Linked DNA regions of Daphnia pulex. The protein of the gene in region 2 purifies or fractionates together with the protein of the main gene of each other region. This does not show direct contact. Links are inferred from orthologs where the notes say so. Each region holds a gene or a part of one and is shown on either strand. Other genes may lie near its edges.

Region 1 (3,120 bases), on a different chromosome or scaffold from region 2:
TAAACATGTGACCTGGATCTCCCTTTATATAAGAGACACCATGCAAAAATTGGCGTCCGAAGTTCGACATTTTCCCCACACTTCGTTATTGATTAGTTCCATTGGTACTCTGTCGTCACTGCATTTTCTTGTTAGATTCGCACCCTTTTCCATTCAATTACAGTTTCTTATACATGAAATCTCTTTGAACTCCAATCTTTAAACTTACCTACCTTTTTTTATTTTTTGGCCAAGAAATGAAAGATCAATTGAGCACTTATTTATCTTACAGGGGAATCGACCTATTTGTGACCTGGCGTGTGACAAACTGTTAAGAGATTTCTCTTGATTACATTTAACTGACGAGAACCATGTGCGTGTTTGTCTCAAATATCTCATTTGTTTCTTTTTTGTTTGTTCGATTGTTAGGTTGTTTGATTGTTTCTTTTTTTTTTTGTTTTGTATCGGATTGGAAACGGTATGACTGGACAATAATATACTATAACTGAATAGTTAAAAAGCAAGTTAATGTTTTTGTTTTAAGATAATATTGAAGCACACGTCCCACAAAACAAACGCTGATGGTTGTTGAATTTTTGTCAAGTAGTACAAAAATATGATGATCACATCAAATTTAAGGGCGAACTAAAATATTCTTAAGAATCTTGGTACTTTCAACATAACGGACTTCATTGACATTAGCCGCCCGTCTCCATTGCTCTCGTACTCGACCCCAATGAGAACAATGCTGTTAAATGAAAAAGAGAAAAAATTAGTTAAACTGCATTCATTTGACCAAATGTTTCTACCCACCTCCTGCAATAGCGATGATACTGATGGAGCCGCCTCATCTTCCTGTTTTACATGAGTTTTTCCGAAGTCAACAGTTAGTAAAAATTCTACACTGAAGTTCCAAATTCACTTACACACACATTTAGCAGCAAATCTAGTGATTTAGATTTTCCACTGGGCTTCAGATCAAAGGGAATCCTAGTATCTACAATGTTTCCTTCTTCATCCAGAGGCATCGCTTCAGGTAATGGCAAGCTATTTACAAAAGCTTCACCATTTTCTTCAAGTTTTAAATCCTCTTTAACCTCAGCTCCTTTATCCTCCAGTTTCTTAGGGGAATTTGCACTGAAATCAAACACTATATAATATTTCTTTAAGGCTGGAAATTAAATGTCAAATTACTTTGCAGCTCCAAATTGTTGGTTGTTTGGTTGATTTTTTATCCAAGCACGGCAAACAGGATATAGGGGAGTTTGAGGAGAAAATTTTGCAAGATCAACACTACGATCATAAAGCTTAAGCACATAGGAATTTTGGTCATTTTTGTAATGTTTATCCACATTTAAGCGTCTTCTCTTTCTCAATGGAGTTTTAATTGTTCCTGATTTCCTAGGAGATGCTGATTGACTATACAATCATAGCCAAATTGATAAATAAAAACATAATTTTTTAAATTCTTAATGTAACTATTCAGTAAATACCTTCTGCCTTCATGGATTAAATCAGTTACATCTACGTCAGATTCATCGCTATCTTCAGATTCAGTTTTTTCGATCAAAATTTGCAGAGCTCCTTCCAATCGTCCACGGGCAGTGCTAACTTCATGCCCATGATCTATAAAATAAACAATTCGTGTGATGTACAAATGCCATTCAGCAAAACATGTAAACATTAAAGTTGCATACCATATTTCTCTTTATCCTTTCTCATTTCTAGATTTGAAAATAAAGAATTTCACAAAAGAAATTAAAAATTCGACCGAGTTCCAAACAAACACAGCATTGCCACTTTCTCTTCTTTAATGGTTGTCAGATTTTACAAAATAAAACAAGGATATCGGAAGAAGCAGACGAATTGCGGACTTCATAAAGCGGATTTCGATCGGCCGTGAGGAACTGTAAATTTGAGCTGATCCGCTATTCAAATATGAAATATGCCCGAGTGATGATGACTCAAACCGCAAAATAAAATGATTATGCAGAAAACCAAATTTGAGACGTATCTTTCTGAATTTACGAAGTATAAACAAATTATCTAAGTTAATTAGTTAAATGTCACATTTGTATTTGTAAACACCTAAAATTCAATTTTATTTATTTAGTTATATACAGTGTACATTTCTAAACATTCATTAATCTTAATATTTTATTATTAATTTTTACTTTCTTATGCAACAATCCTATGTGTCTGCTGTCTGGATGTTTGTTTGCAGTCCAAGGGTGTAGAAGAGGTATCAATCTTGACATGTTGTGATATTGCTGGTGTTTTTTTGTTTTTTTATCTTGTTTACTTTATCTAAACTCTACCTGACTGATAGGGTAAATGTGGTATATGCACTGAGCTGCTGATCCAAGGTTGAAATATTCCTCATTTGGAAATCAGTCAGCTCCTCATTTGAAGCCACAAAGGAAACTTGGTTATTTTTCATAACCATGTCTATGGTAAGATACATACATTGTGTCAATTTATTGAAACTAAATTTACCCATGAAGAAATTCAAGATAAAGTATTCTAATTATTTTTCTTAATTACAGCCGAGCATATTAGAAGTTGCTAGATTTATAAAAATATATATAGACTACCGTTTAAATGAGAAGTTTTCTTTTAAAATAATTTTGATATCGGCTGGAGCAGCATATTCCATTGCTCGACTACAGAACTTTCTGACAGATCCAGAATTGTGTAAATATTTCACAAGTCTATGTAAGAATTAAGAGCCTCATGCAATAATAATTTATTTTTTTCTTTTATTGAAGCTGTGGCTGAAAGAACAAAGAGATATATTTTCTCATGGATTCGTATGATTCCTTTTGTGAAAAAAAAGGTAGCAGAGGAAAGACTTAAGGCTAAACATATGATGGAAGAAGACATGAATAAATGCACAAAATCCCTTAGTGTCTATTATCAATTGCCTAGTAATGGAAAATCAGTTGAAGAGATTACTAAAGAAGCTAGTGAATATCTAGACCTAGGTAAATAATTTTATCTTAATGCATGAAAATAGATTGGATTAAGCTGTTTGTTTGTTTTTTTAACCATAGGGGACTGTGACTGGAAAGCTGGAGGACTTTCAGGATGTGTTTACAATGTTGATCCAGAAGTTACTACTCTTGTTACGCAAGTTTATGG
Region 2 (3,758 bases):
TTGCCAGGGAACCCATCGATCCAGCAGGTAGTATAATACGTTGAGCTCCTGGAGGAACATTAACAGTGGAAATCGCACCCTTTACTTGCCCTACCGCCTTTGTTAAAGTAGTTGTTCCCTTAACTGTTTGTTGTGCCAGCGAACTGTTTGCTGAATGAATCTGTTAAAATTTTTTTAAAAACAATAAAAACAAAAAATTGTAATTCTGTATAATTTCAGGATTATCAGGTTGAATATTTTACCTTAATAGAATTTGCAGTAGGTGCCCCGATTATAACTTTTGAAGTTCCTGATGCAGTAACCAAATTTCCCGACCCGTTGTTTCCAGCAGATGGGTTAACAACGCGAACTAATTGTATCTAAAACCAATACATTTCATATTAATTTACACATTCCAATTTTGATGATCGAAACAACCTTGTTCCCGGCAAGTTGAAAATGCTGCTGTTGACCACTCTGTTCTCCGTGGGTTCCGATTGCGGGGAGTATTCCGGCAGCTAAAGCTTGAGCTGTTGTTAATCTTATGTACTGAGCCGGTTGTGTTCCACTTCCTTGACGAACTAAAAATATGTTTGAAAAATGGATTATTAAATAATTAATTACAAAAACCACAGTTTTAAAATTCGCAACATAAAAGATAAATTCGCATTTTAACACAAATCTGCGATTTTACCTTGGGCTGCAGTGATCGGGCCTGGTGCAGAAGGTCTCAGTACGAACTTCTGAGGACTAAGGGGGTTCATGTTGGTGACATTACCACCGTTGGGTCTAGTTTGGACCAGTGCTGCCATTGTTACTTGTCCAGCAGCGTTCTTTATCAGTAAGCTGGTTGGTTGGCTTTGTATTGAAGAACTGGATGAAATATTCGATGCAACTGTCTGCGGGGGAGCTGGGGCAATTTTCGTTGGTGTTTTGGTGGGGGCGCTTCTTACCAACGTCACGTTTCCTCCTGCAAATTTAGCTCCTTGTTTTCCTGCCAAGATATTGGTAGTAGGGGTTCCTTGACTTGCCGTGGCAACGGCGACTTTATTTACAATTAAAGGTTGCCCCTGATTTTAAAATATATATTAGTTCCCATTTCATACGTTTTTTAGGCGTTTGTCTACCTTTTTAGGCGATATAAGTCCAAGCTGTTGGGCTTGCTGAAGTGTGATGGTTTTGGTCGGGCTCATAAGGCGAACAGATTGTGAATGAATGTTTGAAGAGGGTGTACCGATGGTCGACATTTTACTTCCATCTGTACTAAGGGCATTAACAAACCGCAAATTTGTATTCGGAGTTAGTAGAGATGTTAATCCACTTGTTGATGCTGGAACTGTAAGAAGTAATGGCTGTCCAGTTTGATTTTGGCTTGTGGGTGCTAGCACGACTTTAGTAACCTATTCATTGAAAAACCAATAATTAATAAAAGAAATAATTAAGAAAAATAAAATATTAATTAAACCTGAGTCGAGGAAGAAACTGGAATTGTTTTCTTGATTTGACCCAGAGGGAAAACAGTTCTAGTCACTGGTTCGACTACCGGTAAGGAAACGGACATTGGCGTTATCGAGGGCGCATTTTTATCATCACACTGGCTTGTCATGATACTGATTCCCATGTCACTTTGATCCATAAAACTTTCTAAGGGTATTGAGTGTACCTCTTGACTTCTGCTCACTTCCATGTTCTAAAATAATGTAAACAACAGATAATTAGGAAAAAAAAAGTTTAATATTTAGAGTATATTACTTGCACATCCACCTCCATAGCTTCAATAGTCATAGTTTCCACTTCTTCAGAATGACCCAGATCATTCATATTCAAGTTGTTGGGGTCATTTCCTAAATGCACTGCTGACTCATTTGTCTGAACATGTTCCTCTACTATGCCAGAAACATTGGACATGTTGGATACTGCATCATTCGATTCCAATGCTCCTTCTAATCCAAGCCATAGACTGGGGTTGTTTGCCTTCAAAAGAATATGGTTGGAAATTTAAAAATATGTCAAAGAATGCTAAATAACAACTGTCTTTAGAAACCAACTTTGATAGCTTTAATAACTTACCAAATCAGCCACATCAGTGTTAACTAAATCAGGAGGTAAATCTGAGACTTCTGTTGTTATCACTTCTGTATGTTCATCATTTTCTTCTCCAACAGAAGTAAGGGAGAGAATGAAGTCATCTGTTTCGACTTGCATAGCGGAAACTGGGAAGGAAAACAAGATTAGTAAGGTAAATATCTATCAAGTAGGTACTTAATCATACTATCAAATAAGCTTCTAAGTGATCTTAGCATTGGGAAGGTTAATATCTGTTTAATGTAATCCAAAATTTATTCCAGTTTAAAAAGATTTTTCAACGAATATCGAAAAACCCGCCTGTAATAGGCGCCATTTTGAAAATAGTTTCCTAAGGGCATCAACCTAGCTTGAATTTTATGCAATCAGATCTATTTTTGTGTGAAATTAGTATTCTTAACTTGACGGAAATAACACAGTCATGATCTAAACAACGGTAAGATAAAATATAAATACCTTCATCTCGAGAACTCGACATCATTTAAGAGGAAATGTACGATCAGCCCGCCATGAACTTATTCAAAGCGACGCCTGCGATTGCTCTTTACACTTAGTTCGTTATGTCGCGGCTAGGTGTCGTGAAAATTTCTGATCTTACTCCACACGCCCCACACGATGATATTTCTAATATGGCATGATGCTTGGCATCATAATATCATATATTTTTAAAGTGTTGCAACTTAAAATGATTTTAAAATGTTGTTACGAAAATGCTTTTAATAACAAGCAAAAAACAAGTATGAACTGCAGGGATAATATTTCAGAAAAACATCGAGCGATTAGCGAACGATAGCGCTTACATTTTGGGTAACCGTGTTGTCTGTCCCGGTCCGTCCGTGTAATCCTTTGGTTTATTTCTTTACAATCATCGCATTTTCAATCTTCTAATAAAACAACGAAATTTTTTTTCTACAGTAATGTGTATCTGATTCCCATATTACGTCAGCATGAACTGCAATTCTGTGGACAATTATCAAACAATCGAAAGTTATTTTACATAAATAAACTTAGCCCTTTTTCGAATAATGCCTCAGTGGCAGTTTGAGGATTAGCTTAGTCCGTGTTCGAAGAAGCCCATAAAATCTTGTTTGGATTAAGTGAGAAAAGCGTTGATGACTGATGAGTGCCCCATTTCCTGTACAATAAGGAATGTCAGAATAAAGAAACAGAGTATTATTCAGTTTACATACTATGCGAATTCGAAAAAATGAAATAATAAATCTTTAGATTTTATGGCATTGCAATGCGTGTGTAATTGACTTGTATATAGTATATGATACTATGAGATTTCTAAGGGGGAAACATTTTTTTTTGTTTCTTCTCTCGCGCGTGCATTTGTTTGTTGCCCCTTTTTTGTTTTTCTTTTCACCCATCCGTCTTCCGAACTTATTTTTTTGCCTTGAGCCCCGGCCACGGCCAATCAAGTAAGACAAAAGAAGTACGAATACGAGTATTTTTTTAAAGCAAAACAATACCAGAAGGCATGTTGGCGAAAACAGACAGAAAATAGAAGAAAATGTTCTTGGATTTTCAAGGATTATTATTATTGTCAACTAAAAAAAAAACTGTATTAATTAGAACATTTACAGAGTGCCCGATTTGATTTTTCACTAAATTCTACATAAAGTGGGAAGTATGCATTGCGACATTTGCGAGTTGCGACTGGCTGCGAATCCTGCGATGCCGCTATAGTC

Evidence for each region. Proteins that work in one complex are often made in the same cells at the same time.
Region 1: the proteins of protein lin-54 homolog (region 2) and protein lin-37 homolog purify together in Homo sapiens (affinity purification with mass spectrometry; 4 studies listed by BioGRID and IntAct, counting the BioPlex papers as one, with this or other methods). This does not show direct contact. The link is inferred for Daphnia pulex from reciprocal best matches to the Homo sapiens genes LIN54 and LIN37.

Annotation. Positions count from the first base shown.
Region 1 is NC_060021.1:10,751,250-10,754,369, reverse strand, and holds protein lin-37 homolog, read right to left. Parts: upstream 1,811-3,120; 5' UTR 1,702-1,810; coding exon 1,677-1,701; intron 1,606-1,676; coding exon 1,473-1,605; intron 1,399-1,472; coding exon 1,174-1,398; intron 1,117-1,173; coding exon 906-1,116; intron 835-905; coding exon 793-834; intron 728-792; coding exon 614-727; 3' UTR 505-613; downstream 1-504. Other genes in the region: sphingosine-1-phosphate lyase-like, read left to right, coding at 2,424-2,432, 2,526-2,673, 2,748-2,963, 3,033-3,120.
Region 2 is NC_060026.1:5,748,805-5,752,562, reverse strand, and holds the start of protein lin-54 homolog, read right to left. Parts: upstream 2,628-3,758; 5' UTR 2,546-2,627; coding exon 2,521-2,545; intron 2,193-2,520; coding exon 2,050-2,192; intron 1,954-2,049; coding exon 1,732-1,953; intron 1,670-1,731; coding exon 1,445-1,669; intron 1,380-1,444; coding exon 1,107-1,379; intron 1,050-1,106; coding exon 674-1,049; intron 561-673; coding exon 418-560; intron 360-417; coding exon 243-359; intron 161-242; coding exon 1-160. UniProt on the Homo sapiens protein: Component of the DREAM complex, a multiprotein complex that can both act as a transcription activator or repressor depending on the context. In G0 phase, the complex binds to more than 800 promoters and is required for repression of E2F target genes.